7 linked regions of the Macaca mulatta genome follow. The protein of the gene in region 1 binds, or shares a complex with, the protein of each later gene. Links are inferred from orthologs where the notes say so. Each region holds a gene or a part of one and is shown in the gene's direction. Other genes may lie near its edges. The genes, in order: RHOA, ARHGEF12, ARHGEF25, NET1, PKN1, ARHGEF28 and MYO9B.

The links.
Region 2: the proteins of RHOA (region 1) and ARHGEF12 are in contact, whole or in part, in a crystal structure (PDB 1X86), measured with the Homo sapiens proteins. The link is inferred for Macaca mulatta from reciprocal best matches to the Homo sapiens genes RHOA and ARHGEF12. Residues at the interface, in NP_001300870.1 of Homo sapiens: Arg5, Lys7, Thr19, Lys27, Val33, Tyr34, Pro36, Thr37, Val38, Phe39, Glu40, Asn41, Val43, Asp45, Glu54, Trp58, Asp59, Ala61, Gly62, Gln63, Tyr66, Asp67, Arg68, Leu69, Leu72, Ser73, Asp76, Glu97; in NP_056128.1 of Homo sapiens: Pro766, Asn768, Gln770, Glu790, Val791, Glu794, Thr798, Ala801, Cys888, Gln891, Pro892, Lys899, Arg922, Arg923, Leu924, Gln925, Lys927, Asp928, Pro931, Thr932, Met934, Gln935, Thr938, Lys939, Leu942, Leu943, Asn946, Arg968, Leu971, Asn972.
Region 3: the proteins of RHOA (region 1) and ARHGEF25 are in contact, whole or in part, in a crystal structure (PDB 2RGN), measured with the Homo sapiens proteins. The link is inferred for Macaca mulatta from reciprocal best matches to the Homo sapiens genes RHOA and ARHGEF25. Residues at the interface, in NP_001300870.1 of Homo sapiens: Arg5, Tyr34, Pro36, Thr37, Val38, Glu40, Asn41, Val43, Asp45, Glu54, Trp58, Asp59, Ala61, Gly62, Gln63, Asp65, Tyr66, Asp67, Arg68, Leu69, Leu72, Pro75, Asp76; in NP_891992.3 of Homo sapiens: Tyr163, Val164, Glu167, Thr171, Met174, Tyr175, Asp178, Cys253, Lys256, Pro257, Glu260, Ser264, Arg275, Arg281, Leu282, Asn285, Asp286, Ile289, Lys290, Val292, Gln293, Arg294, Met296, Lys297, Gln299, Leu300, Leu301, Cys327, Pro330, Lys331.
Region 4: the proteins of RHOA (region 1) and NET1 are in contact, whole or in part, in a crystal structure (PDB 4XH9), measured with the Homo sapiens proteins. The link is inferred for Macaca mulatta from reciprocal best matches to the Homo sapiens genes RHOA and NET1. Residues at the interface, in NP_001300870.1 of Homo sapiens: Arg5, Lys7, Tyr34, Pro36, Thr37, Val38, Phe39, Glu40, Asn41, Tyr42, Val43, Asp45, Glu54, Trp58, Ala61, Gly62, Gln63, Tyr66, Asp67, Arg68, Leu69, Arg70, Leu72, Ser73, Pro75, Asp76, Pro96, Thr100, Pro101, Glu102; in NP_001040625.1 of Homo sapiens: Glu177, Ala178, Glu181, Gln270, Leu271, Lys274, Lys281, Gln291, Leu294, Glu295, Arg300, Lys301, Leu302, Asp303, Trp305, Ser306, Asp309, Arg312, Ser313, Arg314, Val316, Lys317, Leu320, Leu321, Glu324, Gln347, Leu350, Ser351, Ile353, Asn354.
Region 5: the proteins of RHOA (region 1) and PKN1 are in contact, whole or in part, in a crystal structure (PDB 1CXZ), measured with the Homo sapiens proteins. The link is inferred for Macaca mulatta from reciprocal best matches to the Homo sapiens genes RHOA and PKN1. Residues at the interface, in NP_001300870.1 of Homo sapiens: Met1, Ala2, Phe25, Ser26, Lys27, Asp28, Gln29, Val43, Asp45, Ile46, Glu47, Gln52, Glu54, Thr163, Lys164, Arg168, Glu169; in NP_002732.3 of Homo sapiens: Glu40, Arg43, Arg44, Ile46, Arg47, Leu50, Lys51, Lys53, Glu54, Glu57, Asn58, Arg60, Arg61, Leu77, Arg78, Ser81, Leu84, Asp85, His88.
Region 6: the proteins of RHOA (region 1) and ARHGEF28 are in contact, whole or in part, in a crystal structure (PDB 6BC0), measured with the Homo sapiens proteins. The link is inferred for Macaca mulatta from reciprocal best matches to the Homo sapiens genes RHOA and ARHGEF28. Residues at the interface, in NP_001300870.1 of Homo sapiens: Arg5, Val38, Phe39, Glu40, Asn41, Tyr42, Val43, Glu54, Ala56, Trp58, Arg68, Leu69, Leu72; in NP_001171164.1 of Homo sapiens: Lys1140, Ile1142, Arg1144, Glu1145, Val1146, Ala1147, Asn1148, Glu1149, Phe1154, Ile1156, Ala1158, Ser1159, Ser1160, Pro1163, Glu1164, Met1165.
Region 7: the proteins of RHOA (region 1) and MYO9B are in contact, whole or in part, in a crystal structure (PDB 5HPY), measured with the Homo sapiens proteins. The link is inferred for Macaca mulatta from reciprocal best matches to the Homo sapiens genes RHOA and MYO9B. Residues at the interface, in NP_001300870.1 of Homo sapiens: Asp13, Gly14, Ala15, Glu32, Tyr34, Val35, Pro36, Val38, Phe39, Gln63, Glu64, Asp65, Tyr66, Arg68, Leu69, Leu72, Asp90, Glu93, Asn94, Glu97; in NP_004136.2 of Homo sapiens: Glu1731, Gly1732, Arg1735, Lys1736, Ser1737, Gly1738, Ala1739, Ala1740, Arg1744, Lys1772, Gln1773, Arg1776, Arg1840, Met1841, Ala1845, Ile1848, Ile1849, Pro1852, Cys1853, Arg1856, Pro1863, Leu1864, Ser1866, Met1867, Val1870, Thr1874.

Annotation. Positions count from the first base shown.
Region 1 is NC_133407.1:112,848,108-112,852,297, reverse strand, and holds the start of RHOA (transforming protein RhoA), read left to right. Parts: upstream 1-1,390; 5' UTR 1,391-2,007; intron 2,008-4,190. UniProt on the Homo sapiens protein: Small GTPase which cycles between an active GTP-bound and an inactive GDP-bound state.
Region 2 is NC_133419.1:121,160,609-121,164,108, forward strand, and holds part of ARHGEF12 (rho guanine nucleotide exchange factor 12), read left to right. Parts: intron 1-663; coding exon 664-831; intron 832-1,971; coding exon 1,972-2,059; intron 2,060-2,541; coding exon 2,542-2,628; intron 2,629-2,769; coding exon 2,770-2,849; intron 2,850-3,478; coding exon 3,479-3,500. UniProt on the Homo sapiens protein: May play a role in the regulation of RhoA GTPase by guanine nucleotide-binding alpha-12 (GNA12) and alpha-13 (GNA13). Acts as guanine nucleotide exchange factor (GEF) for RhoA GTPase and may act as GTPase-activating protein (GAP) for GNA12 and GNA13.
Region 3 is NC_133416.1:64,778,498-64,782,750, forward strand, and holds the start of ARHGEF25 (rho guanine nucleotide exchange factor 25), read left to right. Parts: upstream 1-1,453; 5' UTR 1,454-1,735; coding exon 1,736-1,834; intron 1,835-2,088; coding exon 2,089-2,203; intron 2,204-2,951; exon of another isoform or gene 2,952-3,412; coding exon of another isoform or gene 3,413-3,509; intron 3,510-3,562; exon of another isoform or gene 3,563-3,927; coding exon of another isoform or gene 3,928-3,979; intron 3,980-4,253. Other genes in the region: putative E3 ubiquitin-protein ligase DTX3, read left to right, coding at 37-441. UniProt on the Homo sapiens protein: May play a role in actin cytoskeleton reorganization in different tissues since its activation induces formation of actin stress fibers. It works as a guanine nucleotide exchange factor for Rho family of small GTPases.
Region 4 is NC_133414.1:7,018,856-7,021,755, forward strand, and holds part of NET1 (neuroepithelial cell-transforming gene 1 protein), read left to right. Parts: intron 1-74; coding exon 75-171; intron 172-309; coding exon 310-386; intron 387-1,093; coding exon 1,094-1,351; intron 1,352-1,776; coding exon 1,777-1,947; intron 1,948-2,900. UniProt on the Homo sapiens protein: Acts as a guanine nucleotide exchange factor (GEF) for RhoA GTPase. May be involved in activation of the SAPK/JNK pathway Stimulates genotoxic stress-induced RHOB activity in breast cancer cells leading to their cell death.
Region 5 is NC_133424.1:15,077,248-15,080,747, forward strand, and holds part of PKN1 (serine/threonine-protein kinase N1), read left to right. Parts: intron 1-517; coding exon of another isoform or gene 518-560; coding exon 561-640; intron 641-720; coding exon 721-796; intron 797-881; coding exon 882-973; intron 974-2,336; coding exon 2,337-2,513; intron 2,514-2,746; coding exon 2,747-2,809; intron 2,810-2,907; coding exon 2,908-2,984; intron 2,985-3,158; coding exon 3,159-3,301; intron 3,302-3,500. UniProt on the Homo sapiens protein: PKC-related serine/threonine-protein kinase involved in various processes such as regulation of the intermediate filaments of the actin cytoskeleton, cell migration, tumor cell invasion and transcription regulation.
Region 6 is NC_133411.1:80,273,916-80,277,415, forward strand, and holds part of ARHGEF28 (rho guanine nucleotide exchange factor 28), read left to right. Parts: intron 1-843; coding exon 844-1,022; intron 1,023-1,987; coding exon 1,988-2,079; intron 2,080-3,207; coding exon 3,208-3,390; intron 3,391-3,500. UniProt on the Homo sapiens protein: Functions as a RHOA-specific guanine nucleotide exchange factor regulating signaling pathways downstream of integrins and growth factor receptors. Functions in axonal branching, synapse formation and dendritic morphogenesis.
Region 7 is NC_133424.1:17,671,812-17,675,311, forward strand, and holds part of MYO9B (unconventional myosin-IXb), read left to right. Parts: coding exon 1-102; intron 103-1,630; coding exon 1,631-1,947; intron 1,948-3,435; coding exon 3,436-3,500. UniProt on the Homo sapiens protein: Myosins are actin-based motor molecules with ATPase activity. Unconventional myosins serve in intracellular movements. Binds actin with high affinity both in the absence and presence of ATP and its mechanochemical activity is inhibited by calcium ions.

The DNA of each region.
Region 1 (4,190 bases):
CCTCCCAAGGTGTTGGGATTACAGGCGTGAGCCACCAAGGATTTGTGTTAAAATTTTTTTTGCTGGCCAGGCACGGGGGCTCAAGCCTGTAATCCCAGCACTTTGGGAGGCCGAGACGGGTGGATCACGAGGTCAGGGGATCGAGGCCATCCTGGCTGGCTAACACGGTGAAACCCCGTTTCTACTAAGAAATACAAAAAACTAGCCAGGCGAGGTGGCGGGCGTCTGTAGTCCCAGCTACTCGGGAGGCTGAGGCAGGAGAATGGCGTAAACCCGGGAAGTGGAGCTTGCAGTGAGCTGAGATCAGGCCACTGCACCCCAGCCTGGGCGACAGAGCGAGACTCCGTCTAAAAAAAAAAATTTTTTTTTGCTTTATTTTTTTCTTCTTTTTTTGTATTAGAGATGGGGTGTTGCTATGTTGCCTAGACTGATCTTGTACTCCTGGGCTCAAGTGGTCCTCCTGTCTCAGCCTCCCAAAGTGCTAGGATTACAGGTGTGAGTCAAGCAATGCTCGTGCCTCAGCCTCCCCAGTAGCTCGATTACAGGTGCCAACCACCACCTGCCCACCACCCCCGGCTAATTTTTGTATTTTGTATTTTAGTAGAGACAAGAATTATACCATGTCGGCCAGGCTGGTCTCAAATTCCTGACCTCAGGCAATCCACCCACCTCAGCTTCCTGCTGGAATTATGGGCGTGAGCTACCCTGGCCAAGATTTTTAACTTCTGAAGCTTATAGCTGCTCTAAATCACAAGAATTCAGTTCCATAATTTTAAAAAGTTGCTTGTTTTGACTTTAGGTATATGGTTGAACATTCTAACTTTTGTTATGTATACATTTTTATTTTACTGTATTCTTGTGGCCATTGTATCCTACTCTGTATGTTGCAGATGAGTTGTGATTCTCTGGACTTAGAGATCACATGCTCTATTACCAGGATATTTTTTTGTAACTCCGTTTGTTGTTTGGGATATAGGCTTTGAGAGGTTAAGGAAGTAAATTTAGGATGGATATTGATGTTGTAGCACTTTGTTAATCCTTTTCTCTACAAGATAATTTTATTATGTGATACAGCAATTTTGTTCAGAGATGTTTTGTGTGTGTGTGGAAAATTTCTTTTCTGGATGAAATCTCTTGTTTAACTTCTCCAGTTATTCATAATGAAGCTGTTTATCTTTTAAAGATATTAAGTTCAGAAAAGGAAGGCAAGCTGCATACAGTGGCTCACGCCTTTATTCCAGCACTTTGGGAGGCCAAGGTGGGTGGATCACCTGAGGTCAGGAGTTCAAAACCAGTCTGACCAACATGGTGAAACCCCATCTCTACTAAAACTACAAAAATTAGCCAGGTGTGTTAGTGGGTTACTGTAATCCCAGCTACTCAGGAGGCTGAAGCAGGAGAATTGCTCGAACTTGGGAGGTGGAGGTTGCAGTGCTCCAAGATCACAGCACTCCAGCCTGGGCAACTCTGTCTCAAACACAAACACAAAGAAAAGGAAGGCAGTAGAGTATCTTATTTAAGAGCATGGATTCTGGAGAGAAGCTGACAGTTAAATACTAGCTCTGACACTTGATGGCTTGAGACCCTTGACAGTAATATGATTCCTTTTTGATTCAGTTTTTTTCTTCTGTAGAAAGGGAATGGTAAGCGAGCACTATGAGATTTCAGTGAGAGAGAAGCACTTACCTCAAGTGCCAGACAGCAGCCTTTCAGCTAACTTATTATATTTATTTATTTTTTGAGATGAAGTTTTGCTCTTGTTGCACAGGCTGGAGTGCAATGGCACGATCCCAGCTTACTGCAATCTCCACCTCTCAGGTTCAAGCGATTCTCCTGCCTCAGCCTCCTGAGTAGTTGGGATTACACGCATGTGCCACCATGCCCGGCTAATTTTTTGTCTTTTTATTTTTATTTTTATTTTTTTTCATTTATTTTTATTTTTTTTGAGATGGAGTCTCGCTCTGTGCAGTGGCCGGATCTCAGCTCACTGCAAGCTCCGCCTCCCGGGTCCACGCCATTCTCCTGCCTCGGCCTCCGGAGTAGCTGGGACTACAGGCGCCCGCCACCTCACCCGGCTAGTTTTTTTTTGTATTTTTCAGTAGAGACGGGGTTTCACCGTGTTAGCCAGGATGGTCTCGATCTCCTGGCCTCGTGATCCGCCCGTCTCGGCCTCCCAAAGTGCTGGGATTACAGGCTTGAGCCACTGCGCCCAGCAATTTTTTGTATTTTTAGCACAGACTGGTTTTCACGATGTTAGCCAGGATGGTTTCGATCTCCTGACCTCAGGTGATCTGCCTGCCTCCACCTCCCAAAGTGCTGGAATTACAGGTGTGAGCCACCGCGCCTGGCCTACTTTTTTTATTACTTTTTTTTTGGAGACCGAGTCTGGCTCTGTCGCCCAGGCCGGAGTACAGTGGCATGATCTCGGCGCCCTGCAACCTCCGCCTCCCAGGTTCATGCGATTCTCCTGTCTTAGCCTCCCAGGTAAACTGGGACTACAGGTGCATGCTGCCACGCCCGGCTAATTTTTGTTTTGTATTTTAGCAGAGACGGGGTTTTACCGTGTTGCCCAGGCTGGTCTCCATCTCCTGTGTTCAGGCAGTCCGCCTACCTTGGCCTCCCATAGTTGCTAGTATTACAGCCGTGAGCCACCGTGCCTGGCCTTTTTTTTTTTTGAGACGGAGGCTTGCTCTGTTGTCCAAGCTGGAGTGTAGTGGCACAATCTTGGCTCACTGCAACCTCTGCCTACCCAGTGCAAGCGATTCTCCTGCCTCAGCCTCCCAAGTAGCTGGGACTACAGGCGCGCGCCACCATGCCCAGCTAAATTTTTTGTGTGTGTTTTTGTGTTTGTTTTTTCACTAGAGACGGAGTTTCACTATGTTGGCCAGGCTGGTCTCGAACTCATGACCTCGTGATCCACTTGCCTCGGCTTCCCAAAGTACTGGGATTATGGGTGTGAGCCACAGCGCCCGGCCTTTTTTTTTTTTTTTTTTGGATAAGGTATTGTTTTGTCTTCCAGGCTGGAGTGCAGTGGCATAATCTTAGCTCATGGTGGCCTCCAGCTTTTGGTGTCAGGGTATCCTTCCACCTCAGCCTCCCGAGTAGCTGGGACTACAGGTGTGTGTGCAACTGCGCCCAGCTAATATTTTTACCTTTCGTAGAGATGGAATCTCAATGTCTTGCCCAGGTTGGTCTCAGACTCCTGGGCTCAAACAATCCTCCCACCTCAGACTCCCAAAGTGCTGGAAGTATGGGCGTGAGCCACTGAGTCCAGCTATCTTCAACTTTCACTATTCAGGTTACAGTTTGTAGTACCTTTTTTTGGCAGGGCAGGGGAAGGGTAGCGGGAGTAGCGCCCTAAGATCTCTTGGAATAAAACAGGGCTTACTACTTGGTTCCTGGTGCTTAAGAACATGTTTCCTAGACTCGGCTCTTTCCAGACTTGGAATCCAGTTCCCCAAGTTGGAATCACCTGAGGTTTGTTTTAATCACCTTCATGGAGGTATAATTTGCGTACAATAAAATGCATATACTTTATTTTATTTTATTATTATTTTTTTTTGAGACGGAGTCTCGCTCTGTCACCCAGGCTGGAGTGCAGTGGCCGGATCTCAGCTCACTGCAAGCTCCGCCTCCCGGGTTCACGCCATTCTCCGGCCTCAGCCTCCCGAGTAGCTGGGACTACAGGCGCCCGCCACCTCACCCGGCTAGTTTTTTGTATTTCTTAGTAGAGACGGGGTTTCACCGTGTTATCCAGGATGGTCTCGATCTCCTGACCTCGTGATCCACCCGTCTCGGCCTCCCAAAGTGCTGGGATTACAGGCTTGAGCCACCGCGCCCGGCCAAAATGCATATACTTTAAATGATAGTTTGATATATTTTTTTTTAGACACAGGGTCTTGTTCTGTCACCCAGCTGAAGTACAGTGTCGGAATCATAGCTTACTGCATCCTCAACCTCCTAGGCCCAAGAATTCTCCACTTCAGCCTCTTGAGTAGCTAGGGTTGCAGGTATGCACCACCACGCCTGGCTACATTTTTAGTTTTTAATTATTTTTTTGTAGAGAGAGGGGTCTCACTAAGTTGCTCAGGCTGGTCTTGAACTCCTGGTCTTAAGTGATCCTCTCGTCTCAGCCCCACAAAGCCCTGGGATTGTAGGCACGAGCCACCACAAACCACCAGTTTGATAAA
Region 2 (3,500 bases), on another chromosome or scaffold:
AAGAAATAGGAGTTTCCTATGACAAAAGGAAGAGGAGAGAACCATTCTCTCAGCAGTTAGCAGTGCTACCTCGTGTTATTTGTACATTTGTAGATCTGCTTGTGTTATTTCATTATATGTAACGTGTTAAATATTCATTTAGGAATGTAACAGAGATCTGATTTAGTCCTATTTCCATCATTCTTATATTCTAGTAAGTCTTAGTATGCTTTGTAAGCTTTCTTTAGACCAGTACTTCTTAAACTGTCTGTGATGAGGAACTGTTTTTTTTTTTTTTTTCCTCCAAGAAACAAGGTCTTACTATGTTGCCCAGGCTGACGTGTAGTGGCTATTCACAGATGCAGTCATGGTGCACTGCTGCCTCGAACTCCTGGGCTTAAGTGATCCTCCTGCCTTAGCCTCCCTAGTAGCCAGGATTATAGGCGCACACCACCACACCCAGCTTGTTGTTTTTTATTTCCTGTTGGTCACAGATTGACACTTTAGTGAAATACAATAAAAATGAATTATTGAAAATGAAATTTTAAAAGATAATATACAAGTCAATTTTGAACATTTTGTAGCTTTAACAGAAATAAAATTCCTCTGTTGAATCATTATAAAGTTAACCAAAGACGTCCCAATTTCTGTACTTACCATTTTTTTCTGTACTTTTATTTCTAGATTTATACACATTGCTGCTGGAAGACATTCTTGTATTGTTACAAAAGCAGGATGATAGACTGGTGTTAAGGTGTCATAGTAAGATTCTGGCATCTACAGCTGATAGCAAACATACGTTTAGCCCTGTCATTAAGTTGAGTACAGTGTTGGTTCGACAAGTGGCAACAGGCAAGTATGTCCACTGAAGGATACTAATTTCCAGATTCATTGTGAAGTTGCATAAGATACTCATTGCTGTTTAAGTAACACAAGTGGCATAGAGTCTTGCTATTTTTATATTATTAAGCAAATTACGTGAAATTTACTGCTTAGAAAGAGACTTAAGAGTTTATACCCCAAAGTTATTTAGGGTGTCTAGATTCTGTGAATGGTTTTCTGTATTTGAAAATTTTTATGCTATTACTTTGGTTCTTTATGTTCAAATCATTGATAGATCCCAGTGAAAAGCCTTTCATTTAGGGTGGTATGTTTTTTGATTTGGTGAGAAAAAAAATAAAAACTGAAGAGATGGATGGAATTTTGATTAAAAATCAAATTTGACTGGCAAGTTGTATTTTAACTCTATTAACAAAGGTGTCCCTTTTAAAACTTGTTAGTTTCATGGTGGCAAAATAAATTTGTGATCTCTTTTCTCCACTATTCACTGAATATTATTAACAACTTAGCAAAAGGGCAGTTCAAAATAAATGCAAAAGAGTAATAGCATTTAATTTGGTAATTTGGATTTTTTTTTTTTCTTTTGAGACGAGGGTCTCACCCTGTCACCCAGGCTGGAGTTCAGTGGTGCATCCTTGGCACACTGCAACCTCTGCATCCCGTGCTCAAGCAATTCTTCAACCTCAGCCTCCTGAGTAGCTGGGACTACAGGCATGTACCACCATGGCCTGGCTAATTTTTTTGTTTTTTGTAGAGGCAGCGTTTCGCCATGCTGCCCAGGCTGGTCTCGAACTCCTGAGCTCAAAGAAGTCCACCTGCCTCAGCCTTCTAAAGTGCTGGGATTACAGGCATGAGCCACCATGCCCAGCCAGTAATTTGGATTTTTGACATCCTTTTGTTTCTAGTGAATTATTGTGGAATTAGTGCTAATTTGTATAATCTTTGTTTTATTGAAGTACAATAAATATAATACAATAAATAGGTTAATATGGTAAGTTGCACAAATTTTAACTGTACATCTTGATGAATTTTAAAGTAAATATATGTAACCTTTATCTAGTTTAAGGAGAGGACTATTTCAAGACTCTAAAAACATCCCTCATGGTCTCCCAAGATCAGAGTGTTAGAGTAATCTTGTCTTGTTTTTTCCAGATAACAAAGCTTTATTCGTCATCTCCATGTCAGACAATGGAGCTCAGATTTATGAACTGGTGGCACAGACAGTTTCTGAAAAGACTGTGTATGTATTAGATATGGCTACCTTGCTATAGCTACTATTTTCATTATCCCAAGCATAATACTCCATAAACTTAACTTTGTTTTTATAATGTATGGAAACCAAGCACTTCTTCTACTCTTTTAGAGACATTCTACTATGAAATTGTTCTTTTTTAGATTGATGCCTTTTATTTTGATTCTATTCTGGAAGTTTATTTCCTAAAGAAAAAAATATGGAAAACGTCAGCTGAAGTTTTTTTAATGGGTAATGTCTCCATAACGTTAGATTTTTCTTAAGGTATAGTTTTGGACTCTCACCTTAATAGTGTGTTGCCAAAATAAAGATATTCTCTGGCAGAGTGAAGTGTTTTTTTTTTTTTTGGTTGGTTGGTTGATTGGTTTTTGTTTAGTTCTGTTTTTCTTTTTGTTTTGTGAGTATATTTAAAGGATATTTCTTTTGTTGTTTCTTTTTTGTATTTTGGATTTCTTTCCAACTTTCTGAAGCTGGCAGGACCTAATCTGTCGGATGGCTGCATCAGTGAAGGAGCAATCCACAAAGCCAATTCCATTACCCCAGTCAACACCTGGCGAGTGAGTGTTCCTTTGCATTGTAGTAGGACTTATTTTATGTTTTGGGTTGAAAAAGACTAGCATAATTATTACATTTTGTTGCAATGATGTTTAGGTACCTCAGGAAGCTAAAAGATTGTTGTTGTTTTTTTTCCTTTACAGAGGAGATAATGATGAAGAAGATCCTTCAAAATTAAAAGAGGAACAGCATGGCATTTCAGTCACTGGTTTGCAGAGTCCAGGTACACTTTTCTGACAAGTTCAAGGGAGAATGTGCTCTATTATCTGTTAAAATGCTGGCCAGGTGCGGTGACTCAAACCTGTAATCCCAGCACTTTGGGAGGTCAAGATAGGCCGATCACCTGAGGTCAGGAGTTAGAGGCCAACCTGACCAACATGACGAAACCCTGTCTCTAATACAAAAATTAGCCGGGCATGGTGGTGGGTGCCTGTAATCCCAGCTACTTGGGAGGCTGAGGCAGGGAGAATTGCTTGAACCCAGGAAGCAAAGGTTGCAGTGAGCCAAGATCGTGCCATTGCACTACAGCCTGGGCAACTAAGACCAAAATGCCAAAAAAGAAAAAAAAAAAAAAAAAGAAAGAAATAAATGAAATAAAATAAAATAAAATGCAAAGAAACTTTAATACTGTTTGATTTATGCAGGTTCCAGCATCAGAGATTCAGTTTAACAAACTTTGCTTTTGAGCCTTCTGTGTGTCAGTATAACACTGCGCTATGTGCTGTGTATTTTGCTTAACAGATGATCTCTGTAGTTTATGGAGTTGTTTTTCTGATTCTTGCCTGAATGCTTCATGTTAAAAGTTAAAAGCTTTGTTTAGCTGTAGTCTACCTTTTCTATTCCATTGGACAGACAGAGATTTGGGATTAGAAGC
Region 3 (4,253 bases), on another chromosome or scaffold:
CTGCTCACTGCCCACTATGCTTCACCTTCCTCCTAGGCTGAACACCCAAACCCAGGAGTTCGGTATCCTGGCACCACACGGGTGGCCTACCTCCCGGACTGCCCTGAGGGCAACAAGGTGCTGACCCTGTTCCGCAAGGCGTTTGACCAGCGTCTCACCTTCACTATCGGCACGTCCATGACCACAGGGAGACCGAATGTCATCACCTGGAATGACATCCACCACAAGACCAGCTGCACAGGGGGACCCCAGCTGTGCGACCCCTCTTCACTTCCTTTCCCTTGGCTCCTCCCCTTTCCTCCATTTCCACTGAGGGACCCACCAACCCCTTGCTCTGGGAGCCTCCTAACTGGAGAGGACCACTTCCAAACTGTTCAGCCGTCTCAGTTTCTCCTACATTCAACCTGGTCCTGGTGTGCCCAGCTTAGCCTACAAAAATAAGCAGAATTGGGCTAAGTTATCTTGGGTTTGGAGGTGTCCTCCCTTAGGGGAGGTGGGGAGGTATCTGAGTCACCTAGAATAAGGGTGAGCATGGGGATAATAGCAAGTTCCAACAGCTAACAACCCTCACCCTCATTTCTCTTTGCTCCCAGGTTTGGGTACCCAGACCCTACCTACCTGACCCGGGTGCAAGAGGAGCTGAGAGCGAAGGGTATCACAGATGACTGAAGGACATCGCCTTTGCCAAGGCCCCTGCTGTCCACCTCTACTAGGACCCAGCAGAAGCCTCTTTCTCCTCTCTGCCCCCCGCCCCCCACAACACACCTGTAGGGGACCTGTCTGACTGGGAAGGGCGTTCTGAGAGGGAGGGGGCAATCCCTTCCCCCATCCCCCACCGGCCAAGTGTTTCAATGCAGTGTGAGCCACTCCCTTCTGGCAGAGGCCGACCTCCAAGGCTCTGTTCTCCACTCCCGGTGTACATATACTCCCCGTTTCCCTGCCCCTCCAATGCCCTTGGCTTTTTCTGGTGTGCTGTGCTCCATGACCAAGCAGAGAAAGGACCTAGGGTGGGGAAGGGAGGGTCTCTTGATTCCCAACTGCCCCCACATACTGCTTCACCGCTGAACTTAGGGTGCTGGAGAGGAGGAATTGGGCTGATATGAGCTCCCCACCACCCCCCATGGAGCCGGCTGTGTGTGTTCATCAGATACAGTTCTCCCTTAACCTTGTCCTTTCTTTCCTGTGTCCCAGTCTCCGTCAGTCTGTCTTTCTCCGCTCTTCTCTGACCCCTGTGAGGAACCTCCTTACCCTGTTCTGGAATCGCTGCCAGACTGTAGCTTTTAATTTAATAAAAATAAAGTAAAATATGCAACTCTTCATGCCACACCCGTTCTTTTCCAGGGACTGGGTGGGGGTGGGGTGGGGAGAGGGACCTGCTGGAAAGGGGAGAGGGGGTGATAGGGAGATCCCTGTGTGCCCTCCCAGTCCCTCTGCCTCCTGAGGACCTGGGGAACGGGATGCACCAGCGGGCTTTGTAGTAATACTGCGAAACCCTGGGCCACACTTCGATGTTGGAATTAGTATTAAGAGGGTGTTTTTTTGTTGTTCAACCATCGTTGTAGAGAAAAGAACAACCCTACCCCCTTTGCGAAGTTTGGCTGGGGTGGGAGTGGGGGCGGAGCCGGGCAGGGGGCGGATTCCACAGCAGCAACTCCCTGGACGAGAGCAGGCCTCAAAGCCCCCCAGCTTCCGTGCCCCCTCGACCCTGAAACGTGGAGCTGAGTGGGGGTTCAGTATGAAGCCCCCGGACCGCCCCGCCCCTGGCCGCACTGACCGGATACTGGGGGTCATGGGGAGCATGCTGCGCGCATGCGCCCTCCCCGGGCAGGAGGGGGTAAGAATGGGGGCCCGTGGTGGGGTCGGGGGTCTTTCGGGGCCTTCAGGAGGGCTGCACCCACAACTCAATTTATCCGAAAACGAGTTCTGCGGGGCAGTCGCAGGAATACATGAGTTCCATTACGAGGGCCTTAGCCCCGTTCTGGGCGACCTTTTTATAATAATGTAGATTTTGACAGGTGGGAGAAGGGGAAAGGGGAGGTCAGGGCTGCCTAGGAAGGGGGGTTCCTTACAGTGGTTCTGTCCCCGCAGCCCCCGAGGAGAAGCCCCCTAGGGTCGGGGGATACCGAGCCAGAGTCTGAACGTACGGAGGGAGATCACAGAAGGGACCGCGAAGATGAGGTCCTCGCCTGGGCTCTGCAGCCCGGTAAGAAGCTGGGGGTGGGGTGGGGCAGTTTGCTATCCTGCGCCAAGTGGCGAATTCAAAAATATTCTGCTTTTATTAGCATAAAGTTCGCATCTAATTTGCATGAGACCCATTTAATCGCAGAGACCTCCACTCTTCTCGCCCTCGAGTCCAATGTGTGTCCCCCATCCCAGCCGGTACCGAGCCCCCGCAGGCAGAGTGTCCCCGCGCCCCACCCCTGGCCCCTCGCCAGCCCGGGCTCCAGGACTTCGCCTTAATTGGCGATTAGTCTTAGCTGGAGTCCCGGGGCCTGGAGGAAAGAAGGGTTCTGAGAGAGGGCGGCATCTGGGTTGTGTTCACCCACAAAAGGCTCCCCATACACGCACCCCGTACCGGGGGTCCTCTGTCCACGCGGCCGGGGACAACCCCAAACCCAGAACATCTTCGCACAGGCCAAGGCCCCATCCACCGAGTGCTCCTTCACCTCAGAGGCCAAGGGAAGACCTGGGCAGACCCTGCCGACAGGCTGAACCCCGACCCCAGCGCTCCAAAGAGCCCGCGATGCGGGAGGGAGGGGGACCCCGGGGCGGGGGAGCCCAGGCTGGGGAGGGAAAAAAGCGCTGGGGACGTGGAGTGGGAACGTGGTGGTGCCTGGGGGAGGGGCGATCCGGGCGGGAACCCGGCGCAGGCAGGAGGGGGAACGCGATGGAGAGGGCGGAGCTGGGCCGCAGAGGCCCCGCCCCGTGGCGGCCCCGCGGCCAGGCCTGTTATTCAGCTCGCCGCTCCGCTGGGACCCGCACAGCGCCAGTAGCTCGGGGGTCGGCTCTCGCCTCCTCCCCGGCCCGGGCCTAGAGCCACCCCCAACCAGAGGCCGGAGACAGCTGGAGCCGCTGCCGCATCCCGGCCCAGCCTCCCCTACCATCCCTCCCACTTCCACTGGACATCTGGACCCTGGGCCCCCGCACCGACAGGGTTCCGGAAACCCTCCCCGCCCAGCCCGGCGGCCGGGCCCTGCGCCTCCCTCTCTCTAGAGACCCCCAGCCCGCCTCAAGACTAGACTTCCGCCTACCCCTGGACACCTCCACCCGGTCCCCTCCCTCCCCCACTCCCACAGCCTGGACCGGGGTAGGAGGGAGGGGGGGTGTGCGCCCAGCGCCGTCCCCGCCCCGCCCCCCGTGAGTCCCCCTGCATGGCCGGCCCGGGTGGGGGACGCGGGGGGGCCCGGGCGCCATGCGGGGGGGGCACAAAGGGGGTCGCTGTGCCTGTCCCCGTGTGATCCGAAAAGTGCTGGCAAAATGCGGCTGCTGCTTCGCCCGGGGGGGACGTGGTGAGTGCCAGGTCGAAAGGGCCCAGTGTTGAGTGGGGGGCGGGCTGGGGGTTCAGGGCATCTGTTTGCCCTGGCCCTTGGGATTTAGGGTTGGAGACTGTATGCGTTTTCCAGCAAAGTGGTTTCTTAAGTGATCCCTAAGGTCCCTTCTGCCTCCAAATTTATGTTAGTTCAAGTTATGGAAATTGGGGAAGGGGCAGGGAACTCATCTCTTTCCCTTAGTCAAATGGGTTTGAGAAAAAACCATCCACAATCCCCTTAGGCCTAGAACCGATTATCTTTCCTCAAACCTTTTGCTAAGAATCTACTTCTGAAGAGGGACAGGGGAATGGAGGAATGAGAATGAGGTGGTTCTACAAGGGGCTTTATAAGGAATCACAGCTCTTCTGTCCCTGAGCCCAGGCCATAGATAACCCTGATGGACCCTCCTCACTGGCCTCCTCTATTGGATCTACGCATGTGTTGGGGAGGTGGGCTGCAGGTCTTTTCTTTTTATAGTGATTACTGCAATTGGTGGAGGAGGGGACTGGGAGTGGCAGATGGACCCAGCTCATCCTCCCCCCTTCCCAGAGAATGGTCTGTACCCATTGAAAGGGGGAGGGTTGTGGGAGAGCAGATGGCCACCCCCAGCTTCCAGTGTCTGCCCAGATGGCTGCCCCCACCCCCATATCTATGCTATGCTCAGGATATGGGGAACCTCCACATGTAACTGGGGGTTCCAGGTCTGGAGAGCCAGGTGTTTAC
Region 4 (2,900 bases), on another chromosome or scaffold:
CTTTGTTTCCAAGTATAGATCCCTCATGTTTTCCTCACACGATCTCTCTGTGACACATTTCTCCCCTCTGACAGGCCTATCATGACCCCATGTTAAAGTTGTCCATCATGTCAGAAGAGGAACTCACGCATATATTTGGTGATCTGGACTCTTACATACCTCTGCATGAAGGTTAGATGTGCAACTTAATTGTCATTAAATCTAAAGAGCAATAACGCACGTAATTTTTCAGTCTAAACTTCTAATGTAATGCTGACGTATTTTTTAAATAAACCTGTTAATGGTGTTTATGCTTTTTTATCACTTCAGATTTGTTGACAAGAATAGGAGAAGCAACCAAGCCCGATGGAACAGTGGAGCAGATTGGTCACATTCTCGTGAACTGGGTATGTAGTGAGTTATTGACCCCAGATACAGTTTCTTACAGATGTGCCATGTTGCAGTTTCTGATAAATATGAGATTGATTTGATCCCATAACTCTGTTCTACAAACACATAAGGCATTAAAACTAAACAAGTTTACAGTGACATAAGAAATTACAGTCTGTCTAAAAAAAAAAAAAACAAAAAACTTCATTAATGCTATAGGTTGATTTGTGTTGCAAATATGTTCCTGCTTGGATAGAATTGCCACATTATGTGTGATTATCCGTTGCATTCTTTCATGTATGTTTCAGTGCGTGCCAGATGCTGGGCACTGTTCGAGGAGGAGTCGCTGGGAGTCAATGATGAAAGGCAGTCTCTGCCTTTATAGCCTAGTGAAGGGATAGCCAAGCACATAAACAGTCTCAGGGCTGGTGGCAAATGGAGGACACTCAAGTGTCCTGAGAGCACAGACTGCCGGCGTCTGAGGTTGGAGGGGAGTAGAAGTCATGAGTCTTCACTTGGATTTAGCCAAATTACAAAAATTTGAAGAGCATTTTGATGATTGCTAAAATAGTATTCAACTTCCATTATTATCTGCCAGAAAATGTCCACAGCTTGTTAAAACTCTCAAGAATAGCTGTACATTTTGTGTTTCATGTTTGCAGGCTTGTTAATGCGCTCAGTTGTAACAGGAACACATCATACCTTTTCTTTTGTTACTCTTCAGTTGCCGCGCTTGAATGCCTACAGAGGCTACTGTAGTAACCAGCTGGCAGCCAAAGCTCTTCTTGATCAAAAGAAACAGGATCCAAGAGTCCAAGACTTCCTCCAGCGATGTCTTGAGTCTCCCTTCAGTCGAAAACTAGATCTTTGGAGTTTCCTAGATATCCCTCGAAGTCGCCTAGTCAAATACCCTTTACTGTTGAAAGAAATTCTTAAACACACTCCAAAAGAGCACCCTGATGTTCAGCTTCTGGAGGATGCTGTAAGTAGTCCCTTAAGTGATTGTTTTCCTTTTTAAGTTTATGCATTAGGCTGCTGTAGAACGTTGTCTTCTGAAGATGCTGCTTCACATCAGCACAGTGAATTGTTTTGTTGTTTTAAGTACCCAGTGCATTAGTACACTGTGCACTAAGCAATAAGGAGATGTGAGTGCTGGACTTCGCACATTTTATATCTTAAGGGACAGGATTCTCATCTGATCTCACCTTTTCACCTTTGAACAAATCACTCAATTTGGCTAGGACTGTTTCTTGATCTATAAAATGAACAGACTGACAGAATTAACTGATTTCCGGAGTCCCTTCAAGCTTTAAAGTTCTTCCATTCCATATGACATTTTTGCCCTGCGGGAAGCAGGATGAGTTAATAAACTGAAGCTGCTCTGTCAATTTTATTTATCATTTTCAGATATCGATAATACAGGGAGTCCTCTCTGATATCAACTTGAAGAAAGGTGAATCCGAGTGCCAATATTACATTGACAAGCTGGAGTACCTGGATGAAAAGCAGAGGGACCCCAGAATCGAAGCGAGCAAAGTGCTGCTGTGCCACGGGGAGCTGCGGAGCAAGAGTGGACATGTAGGTGACTTCACCGCCGCGGCGGAGCGGCCTTCCCTCTGCCCCTTTAACTTTCACACGTTCATTATGAAGCAAGCTGGTAAGGGTAAAGTCATGACATGGTAAAAGAAGGTTGCCGATTTTAATTTTATATTACCAGCTTGATAAAGCCAACATTTGGTTTCTTTGACTACAGAATAAATAAGATGCCTTAAATGTCTCCGTGGAGAATCAGTAATACTTTATTTTTTAGTTTTGAAGCATAAATCAACTTGTTTGGCCAGGGGTTTCTTTCTAAATACGATATTAGTTCCAAAATGTTTAATAAAAAAAATCCTTCAAAAAACTTTTAAGAGTTTATCTTATGCTTATGGAAGTGGTTTTTAGCATTACATAACAAATTTCTGAAGCAGATTGAATGAATGCAAATTTATTTTTAAAATGCTAATTATAAAAGTACCTGCTAGAACTAAGTACAGTCATGGAATGGTATTTTTGTTTCATCATGCATTTTCAAAAACCCAATTTGTAAGTTGGAGTTTTGTTTAAAAAATTTGAAATCTGACATCTCTGATTTTTCCCTCATGAGGGAAAAATTTATAGTTATAAATTTGTGTGGGACAAAATAGAACCATTAGTATTTTACCAGCTTGCATTTGTAATCCCTACTTTGTGTTAGAAAACTGTGGTATACAACACTAGTGTTTCAAGTCAATGCTACTACTAATAGGTCTTTGTGATGCAGAGCATTCACTTAGCTGCTGCTTAATCTGATATTACATACCAGTAAGAAATGTTTTTTTTATTCTGAGATTGGAAAAACTTTCCAAATAGAACATGCATAGCCTTGAAATCACCATCTTTATGATTACTAGATTTGTCACTTAGTAAGAGAGATCTTCAAAAAATAAATCTGATGAAATTAATAATATCAAGTTATTTTAGCAATATATTTCAGTCACTTAAAAACACAA
Region 5 (3,500 bases), on another chromosome or scaffold:
TTGAACCCAGGAGGCGGAGGTTGCCATGAACGGAGATCGTGCCATTGTACTCCAGCCTGGGTAACAAGAATGAAACTCAGTCTCAAAAAAAAAAATTAGCTGGGTGTGGTGGTGCAAGCCTTTAGTCCCACCCCCTACCTTCAGGAGGTGAAGGTAGAGTTGAAGGCTGCACTAAGCTATGACTGTGCCACTGCACTCCATCCTGGGCGACAGAGCAAGACTCTGTCTCTAAAAAAAAAAAAAAAAGAAAATTCGGGCTGGGCGTGGTGGCTCACGTCTGTAATCCCAGCACTTTGGGAGGCCGTGGTGGGTGGATCACCTGAGGTCAAGAGTTCCAGACCAGCCTGGCCAACATGGTGAAACCCCATCTCTACTAAAAGTACAAAAATTAGCCAGGCGTGGTGGTGCAGGCGTGTGGCTGGAGGAGAGTGAGTGAGGGGCCGCATGGGAGGAGAGGTGAGGACAGAGAGGTGGGGGGCAGATCTTGCAGGGCCTCAGAGGCTGTTGTGGTTATGAGGGCCTCTCTGACTCCCCTTACTCTGGCCTCTTCTCCGCCACAGAGCTCCCCGATCCAGGAATCCTCCATCACTCCCAAGCTGCCTTCGGAGACCCAGGAGACCCCAGGCCCCGCCCTGTGCAGGTGACACCACTCCCCGGCCCCCTGCCCACCACCCACCCCTGCCTGCTGTCCTTGTCCTCACCAGTGGCCTCTCTCCACAGCCCTCTGAGGAAGTCGCCTCTGACCCTTGAGGATTTCAAGTTCCTGGCGGTGCTGGGCCGGGGTCACTTTGGGAAGGTGAGGTGGAGGGCAGCGGATTGGGAGACCCCCCCCCAGGTCCCTGGCTGGCCACTAAAGCCACCCCTGCCCACTGTGGTTCCAGGTGCTGCTCTCCGAATTCCGGCCCAGTGGGGAGCTGTTCGCCATCAAGGCTCTGAAGAAAGGGGACATTGTGGCCCGAGACGAGGTGGAGAGGTGGGGACCTGCCGTGGTCCTCTGGGGACCTCTGTCTTCTCTTTTGGGAAATGACAGAGCAGTTCTCTCCTTGGAGCTGCAGGGAGAGTGACTCATAGTGGTCACTAATGCCAGGCACGGTGGCTCTCTCCTGTAACCCCAGCACTCTGGGAGGCTGAGGCAGGTGGATCACTTGGGCTCAGAATTTCAAGACCAGGCTGGGCAACATGGCGACACCCCCATCTTTACAAAACATACAAAATAATTAGCTGAGTGTGGTGGTACGTGCTTGTAGCCCCAGCTACTCATGAGGCTGAGATAGGAGGATCACCTGAGCCTAGTAGGTCAAGGTTGCAGTGAGCTGAGATCACACCGCTGCACTCCAGCCTGGGCAACACAGTGAGACCCTGTCTCAGAACAAATAAGTCACTAATACCTACTAGCCTAATACCAAGATAATAATAGCTCTTATAAAAGTTATTCGTTTGTTCCTCCATGTTGCCCTATAAGGTAAATACTGATGGCACAGAGAGGTTGAGCAATTTACCCAAGGTCACACAGCCAGTAAGCAGCAGGTCCAGGATTCAAAGCTAGAGACTCAGGTTCTGAAGCCTGTGCCCTTCGTGGTGCAAACATACTGCCTCTGCTTTGGGGACAGGATCCTGGGTTCAAATCTCACATCTGCAGCATGGGCTTGGAGATCCTGGGGAGGTCACTTCTCCCTTCAGAACCTCAGCCTCTTTGCCAGGCACTGTGGCTTACGCCTGTAATCCCAGCACTTTGGGAGGCCGAGGTGCATGGATCACCCGAGGTCAGGACATCGAGACCAGTATGGCCAACATGGTGAAACCCCGTCTGTACTAAAAATACAAAAATCAGCCGGGTGTGGTAGTGGGCCTCTGTAGTCCCACCTATTTGGGAGGCTGAGGCAGGAGAATCACTTGAACCCAGGAGGCAGAGGTTGCAGTGAGCCAAGATCGCGCCACTGCACTCCAGCTTGACTCTGTCTCAAAAAAAAAAAAAAAAAAAGAACCCCTCTTGATGTGGAGAAGCGGAGTGCTGCTGCCTTCCACACACACGGTTGTCAGGTGCTGTCTACACAGTGCCTAACCCCTCTAAACATTCGGTACAGGCACTGAGATTGTCCTTGGTCTTCCCAGCATTCTTTTGATAATCAGGAACCCAACTCAGAAACAAGTAAAGAAATGTATTGGTCTGCATCAGAAAAGTCCAGGAGTGTGCTGCCTTCAGGCATGGCTGTATCCAGGTGCTGAGATGACATTTCTCAGTTCTGCTTCCCTCTGTATGGGCTTTGCTTGCCGTCTGGGAGTCGGGGGTAAGCGGCGGCCATGGTCTCTGACTTCTGTCCCCCACCCCTCCCCAGCCTGATGTGTGAGAAGCGGATCTTGGCGGCAGTGACCAATGCGGGACATCCCTTCCTGGTGAACCTCTTTGGCTGTTTCCAGACACCGGAGCACGTGTGCTTCGTGATGGAGTACTCGGCCGGTGGGGACCTGATGCTTCACATCCACAGCGACGTGTTCTCTGAGCCTCGTGCCGTGTGAGCCTGGCCCCCCGGCCCGGGCCCCGCCTCCCTCCACAGCGTCTGACATTTCAGTCCCCTCGAGAGGCCGGCAGCCTGCTTCTCACCCCTCCACCCTCAGGCCTTGCTTCCCCCAGCCTCCCAGAGCTTTGGGGAGACTGGGGGGGCTTTTGAGGTTGTGGGAACCAGGCTTATGTGACCCTCCCTGCTTGCAGGGTGGCCCCACCCCTCAGCAGCCTCTCTCTCTGCAGCTTTTATTCCGCCTGCGTGGTGCTGGGCCTACAGTTTCTTCATGAACACAAGATTGTCTACAGGTGTGTGTGTGTGCGCGCATGCATGTGCACACTGCCCGTTGTGGGGACAGGGCCCAGACCCCCGCTCATCCCTCTTTCCATCCCCCAACCCCCAACAGGGACCTGAAGTTGGACAATTTGCTTCTGGACACCGAGGGCTACGTCAAGATCACAGACTTTGGCCTCTGCAAGGAGGGTGAGGGACTGGCCTCGGGATTAGACAAAGGAGCGGGAAGGAATGGGGTCCCTAACCCTACTTGGGGTACCCCCCACCCTGACCCTGGGACAGGGCTGGCTGTGTGGACAACCCCACATTGGGCTGAATGACTCCTCTGGCCCCCATAACCTCACATGGCCTTGCTGTCCCCAGGGATGGGCTATGGGGACCGGACCAGCACATTTTGTGGGACCCCGGAGTTCCTGGCCCCTGAGGTGCTGACGGACACTTCATACACGCGGGCTGTGGACTGGTGGGGGCTGGGTGTGCTGCTCTACGAGATGCTGGTTGGCGAGGTGAGACCCCACCCCTGTGTGTCTCGGATCTCACTGGAAACTGCGTGTGCCCTAGGGTGGGATCCAAGTCTGCCTCCACCAAGTGCTGTGTGATTGAGGGCTGCTCTGGCTCCCTGGCCTCAGTTTCCACCTCTATAAAATGGGACATTTCCCTGCCCGAGTTAGCCAGCACCCAAGAGCTGCAGCAGGCCGGGCTGGG
Region 6 (3,500 bases), on another chromosome or scaffold:
TTGTTGCTGTGGCCCACATGACAGTAGCAAAAAGGATTGGTTATGCCTGGGGAGTCGAAGGTCTTACCACCTATTAGTATCTTTTATAGTCCACGGGCTGGGCTTCTGAGTTTCTGGGCTTCTTTTCAGTTACCTCATTGAAACAATATTGCAAGTCAAATGGACTTTTTAGGGCCTCCATCCTTCTCAATCTCTGTGACATTTGACACATGAGTTTCCTATCTCATGCTGTCTTAGAAAAACTCCTGCCTTGACTATGGCATTTTGATATTTTTCTTCTCTGATTGTTCTGTATTTTAAACAGTTCAATTTTTAAACAACCAATTCCTTTTTTTTTTTTTTTTTTTTTTTGAGACAGAGTCTTGCTCTATTGCCCAGGCTGGAGTGCACTCACTGCAACCTGCACCTCCAAGGTTCAAGCAATTCTCGTGCCTCAGCCTCCCAAGCAGCTGGGACTACAGGCGCACACCACCACATCCAGCTAATTTTTGTATTTTTAGTATAGATGGGGTTTCACCACATTGGTCAGGCTGGTCTTGAACTGCTGACCTCAGGTGATTCACCTGCCTCAGCCTCCCAAAGTGCTGGTATTATAGGAGGGAGCCGTGCCCAGCCTAAATCACCAGGTCTTAAGGATGAGCATTCCCGTAATTCCTCTTTTTCCATCCTCTCTTTTCCATACCGTCTCCATGGGAGATTGTATCAACGTCTACAGCTCTTTTGAAAAGATTGGAAGTGGAGAAAGGTTTACCTACTACCGTTGCTTCCTTTAGCTCATGTTTTACGAGAGCCTTACTTTAGCTAGGACGCTGTTTCATCTGCGCACCTTCCTATTTTATGTAGGATCAGAAGCCATCGGTTATTTCCCTTCAAAAGCTTATTGCTAGAGAAGTTGCTAATGAGGAGAGAGGAATGTTTCTGATCAGTGCTTCGTCTGCTGGTCCTGAGATGTATGAAATTCATACCAATTCCAAGGAGGAACGCAATAACTGGATGAGACGGATCCAGCAGGCTGTAGAAAGGTAACATTTCCTTCTGTCCATAATCTATGGAACAGAGTTGTTCAACTGGGGAAAATATTCTAACCATGTCTTCCTGCATGAAAACTTTGCCTCTGCCAGAATGGTCTGCTCCCTGCCCCCTGCACCTGCCTGCGATAGCCCCCCATCTGCAGCTTTCTCCTCCACGCCTCCCTGCATGTAATGCCCGCACCTCCCTCTGCCTGTGTGTGCCCTGCCAGGCGTTGATGCAGCTCGGGCCTCCCCTCCTCCATGAGGACCTCTTCAGTCCTGGTGATCTCTTTCTTGCCTGAAATTCTTTAACACCTGCTCACTAAAGCATTTACTCAATGCTTCTTATATACTGCCTTGTAGCTATTATCTTTTTTATGTACATATGTGTGTGTTTCTTTAATTAGATTGGAAGCTCCTCGAGGGCAGGGGTCAATGTCTTATGTTTCTCTGTGTGCCTAGTGCTGAGAAATCATTCAATAAATGTTTCTGAATTGGTGGATCTAAGTATTCTAAGTCAATTTATTCCTCATTACTTGTGCAAGGACAGTTTTTATAATTGGGAGCACAAGGGTGGAGGAGATCATTCTCAACAGTAATTTAATTAGTTAGATCCTGAAGTTATATACAATTTCTGTACCTCCACTGCACCTCATCTGATCTGGCACCCCACTTCTATTCCCTAAAATTCTTATACTTTATTCCCATTATGGGTGTGTGTGGTGAGTGTGTTTGTGTTCACTGGAATATTTGAGTCATCCCACACCGCTGATTTTGAGAGTCATGTAATGTTATGCAAGATTTTTTGTATTCTCAAGAAAACAAGTCTCTGGCCAGGGGGCATGATGCATTCCCTTTATGCTGAAATTTTCTCCCTTTATGAATAAATCCATTGCCAAGTTCCCAAGTTTTTCCAATGAATCTACAGATACTTGCATTTGGTTTCAGTTGTGTCTCCTGACTATTGTCTTTTAAAGTTGTCCTGAAGAAAAAGGGGGAAGGACAAGTGAATCTGACGAAGACAAGAGGAAAGCTGAAGCCAGAGTGGCCAAAATTCAGCAATGTCAAGGTACAGTGCAGGCACTTCTGGCTCCCTGATCGTGGTGTTCTCCTGGGTGTTGGGAAAGCCTGAGTGTCATGAACAGGAGGTTATAACTACATGATTCATCCTGTGCACCTGAGGCCCATCTGGACCACCCTCCCAAGAAACACTGAAAACCAAAAACTTACACTAGAAATGCTCAAATAAGATGACATTCTCTTCACTTCCACCTTAGTGATTAAAATGGATGTAAAAAATGCACATGAAACAATAGCTGTGGGCAGTGTGGTACAGAGGAATGTTGGAGTTACTTGTCTCATGGTTTAATTTTAGGTCTCAACACTGTCATGTCAATGATTTTGGACAAGGAACCCAACAGATCTGGTCCCCAGTTTCCAAGTTTGTGAAAGAAGGAGATTAGACTAGCTCAGTGATTTTCAACTCTGGTTTGACATTGGAATCAGTTGAGAGGTCTTTAAAAATACGAATACCTGGGCCTCACCCTCCACCAATTGAATCCGAATCTGTGGCCGGTGGGATGTAGACTTTGGGGTTTTCAGCTCTCCCAAGGTGACTTTGAAGCACAGAGGAGACTGAGAATTCCTGGATTCAATGCTGGTTAAGGTCCCTTTGAGCTTTAAGAATTCTGCAATATGTTGAAATCTGAGGACAATGATGCATGCAAAGATGGGCAAAGAAATTGGATGTTTAGAAACAAAAACTTAAACCAGTATGTTTGGTTTTGACCAAAACTGGCTGAAGCCTGTGCCGTTCCAGGCATTTGTATTGTTCACTCATCATGAACGGGACTACCTCAATTTTCATTCCCAAGCTTAATGTTTAGTCTTAATAGAAACCAGCCTGAATAAACAAAGAATAGCTTTGCAAATTTTCTGGAATTAAGGGACTGAGAGAGGAACCTTATTTACAGAAAAGACAATGGAAGCTGAGAAAGTTGTTAAGTCACTTGCTGGAGGCCAGAGTCACTAAGCAGCATGGTCAGGACTGATACCTGCATCTACCCTACTCATCAGCCTGGGCTTTCTCTTGGAGGTCATACTGCTTGCTAATTAGCTACATCTTTTTCGTGGACTTTCACATTAGTGGTAGTATTCATGTTAGTGATAATCTTCTCTGGTAAATACTATTTCATAGAAATGCTCACTAACCAAGACCAACAAATTTGTGCGTATTTGGAGGAGAAGCTGCATATCTATGCTGAACTTGGAGAACTGAGTGGATTTGAGGACGTCCATCTAGAGCCCCACCTCCTTATTAAACCTGACCCAGGCGAGCCTCCCCAGGCAGCCTCATTACTGGCAGCAGCACTGAAAGAAGGTAAGTCGCTTTGAGAAGGGTTTGGGTTGACACGTTCAGAAAATGTTTATTGAACACCTACTATGTGCCTTGCACTGTGGTCTTGGTGCTGAGGATACAGCAGAACAAGA
Region 7 (3,500 bases), on another chromosome or scaffold:
GTGCTCCTGCCCAAGGATGCCCAGCCCTGCAGGGAGGTCATCTCGACCCTCCTGGAGAAGATGAAGGTAGACAAGAGGAACTACCAGATCGGGAAGACCAAGGTCAGTGCTCCTGCCCCTCGGGGCACTGCAAACCCACACCCTGCCTTCCACCGCACACCGTGTCTTCCCAGGCCCCCAGGGCCACTCTCTGAAACATACAGGGCTCTGTCTAGGAAATGCATTTCTAGGGACCCAGCAGAATACTGCACCTAAGGGATAGGGGCCGCCCTGGCTGAGCCCCACCTGCTGCTCTTCAGCGGGGCTCAGAGACTCCCTCTGCATCACCTGTTTATTGCTGCGTCACAGGTAGGAAAGGGACGATCATGCTAACTGGCAGGATTTAGGAGCTGGTCCATCCCCTTTACAGTATCAGGTGGGAGGCGGCCTGCAATTGTCGTCCCTTTCAGAGATCGTCTCCCATCTCTGGGCATGTGTTTGCCTCTTGCTGTGGGGGCATTATTCAGCCACCCTTGTTTAACAAGTGCCAAGGTCAGTCCCCCAAAGGCCTCACCCGGTGTAAAAAAATTCCCTTCCAGCCAAGCGAGGTAGCACGCGCCCAGAGTCCCAGCTACTTGAAAGCCTGCGGTGGGAGGATCCCTTGAGCCCAGGAGTGTCAGACTAGCCTGGGAAACATAGCGGGACCTCGTCTTTATACAGTATTTAAAAATTAGCCAAGCATGATGGCATGCACCTGTGGTCCCAACTGCTTGGCAGGCTGTGGCAGGAGTTTGAGACTGCAGTGAGCTGTGATTGCACCACTGCACTTCAGCCTGGGTGACCAAGCGAGACCTCATTTCTTTTTCTTTCTTGTTTTTATTTTTGAGACAGAGTCTCACTCTGTCACCCAGACTGGTGGTGCGATCTCAGCTCACTGCAACCTCCACCTCCCAGGTTCAAGTGATTCTCCTGCCTCAGCCTCCGTGCAGCTGGGATTACAGGTGCCCGCCACCACGTCTGACTAATTTTTATATTTTCAGTAGAGACAGGGTTTCGTTACAGGCACACACCTGTAGTCCCAGCGACTCAGGAGGCTGAGGCAGGAGAATCGCTTGAACCCGGGAGGCAGAGGTTGTAGTGAGCTGAGATCGCACCACTGCACTCTAGCCTGTGAGACTCCATCTCAAAAAAAAAAACAGAGCCACACCTAGGTGCAATAGCTCATGCCTGTAATCCCAGCATTTTTGGGAGGCCAGGGTGGGCAGATCAATTGAGGTTGGGAGCTCGAGACCAGCCTGGCCAACATGGTGAAACCCTGTCTCTACTAAAAATACAAAAATTAGCCAGGCCTGGTGATGGGCACCTGTAGTCTCAGCTACTCAGGAGGCTGAGGCAGGAGAATCACCTGAACCCAGTAGGCAGAGGTTGCAGTGAGCCGAGAGGGCGCCACTGCACTCCAGCCTGGGCGACAGAGTGAGACTCCATCTCAAAAAAATAATAAATAAATAAATAAATAAATAAATAAATAAAGCCCTGGTTGGTCAGCACAGCAGCCTGGGTCTCACTCTGGAGTGGGCTATGCAGACCTCCCAGGCACAGAGGTGGTGTCAGGGGCAGCGCGGCTGACCCCACCTGACCCCGTGCCCACCAGGTCTTCCTGAAGGAGACAGAGCGGCAAGCCCTACAGGAGACGCTACACCGGGAGGTGGTGCGGAAAATCCTGCTGCTGCAGAGCTGGTTTCGGATGGTGCTGGAGCGTCGGCACTTCCTGCAGATGAAGCGGGCCGCCGTCACCATCCAGGCCTGCTGGCGGTCCTACCGGGTCCGGAGGGCTCTGGAGAGGACGCAGGCCGCGGTGTACCTCCAGGCCGCATGGAGGGGCTACTGGCAGCGGAAGCTCTACCGGCGCCGGAAACAGAGCATCATCCGCCTGCAGAGCCTCTGCCGGGGGCACCTGCAGCGCAAGAGGTGAGCAGAGCCAGGCCACGCTCCCCAGAATATTCCAGAAGCCAAAAGGGTCACTCACCAAATTGCTGCCCATGATATACCATCTGGCCTGTGGCACTAAGGGGATGTCATTCTGGACACAGGGAAGGGTTGGTGGGAAACTAGATGCCTGGACACACATGGGCTACAGAGAGGGGCTCTGAGGCTGGCAGGCAGCACTCAGGGACAAAGCTCTGCTTTGCCATTGGCTGCACCCATTCTCTGCCCAGGGACTCCCCTGTACCTGGATCGGTCAGGGAGCACCTGGATTCAGGGTTGGAGGGAGCGCCTGGACCAGCCCAACACTCAACATGGAGCTGGGGCATCCACCAGGCACAGAGAACCCCCCAGCAAGATATCAGCAACTCCCGTCCCGGCACCCACAGCTACAAGCCCAGCCCCTCCCTGACCTAGGCACCCTGTGCACCTCTCCCCTGCCACACAGACCCAGCTCTGCCACAGGTCACATCCCAGCTCCCAGAGCAGGCCCTACCCACATGTGCAAATAAGCCTCCTAGGCCAGGTGCAATGGCTCATGCCTGTAATCCCAACACTTTGGGAGGCTTAGGTGGGAGGATCACTTGAACCCAGGAGTATGAGACCAGCCTGGCCAACATAGCAAGATGCCATCTCTACACAAAATTAAAAAGTTAGCTAGGTGTGGTGATGCACACCTGTAGCCCCAGCTATTCAGGAAGCTGAGGCAGGAGGATCACCTGGGTCTGGGATGTGGTGGCTGCAGTGAGCTATGATCACACCACTGCACTCCAGCCTGAGTGACAGAGTCAGACACTGTCTCTAAAAACCAAAAAGGTTGGGCGTATTGGCTCACACCTGTAAGGCCAGCACTTTGGAAGGCCAAGGCAGGCAGATCACATGAGTTTGAGACCAGCCTGGCCAACATGGCAAAACCTCATCTCTACTAAAAATACAAAAATTCGCCGGGCGTGGTGGTGTATGTCTATAATCTCAGTTACTGGGGAGGCCGAGGCACAAGAATCACTTGAACCTGGGAGGCAGAGGTCGCAGCGAGCCAAGATAGTGCCACTGCATTCCAGCCTGGATGACAGAGTGAGACTTTGTCTCAAAAATAAAATAAAATAAATAAAAATAAAAACAAAACAAAAAGCCTCCTAGAAAAAGACTCAAGGGAAAGCCCACAGTGGACCCCAAACGAGTTTGAGGCTTCTTAACAGAACCCACCCACCACAGCCCCAACAAGGGTCCTCTCCCCTAACAAGGCAGCCAGGCAGACACAGGGCAGGAGTATCTGTGACACTGAGGGGGCACCACCCTCAGCCTCCTTTCCTGATCGAGGAGATTCCTGCTTTCCAGAAACATCTCTCAGGGCCACTAGGCACAGGCGAAGCCCCGTCTGCAGCCCACAGGCTGGGGGTCCCATCGGAACTCAGTGGGAGGTGGAAGGAAGGTTTGTTTCTGAACCAGCTGTCTGCTTTTTCCTCACTCCAGCTTCAGCCAGATGATCTTGGAGAAGCAGAAGGCAGAGGAGAAGGAGAGGGAAGCCCTGGAAGCCG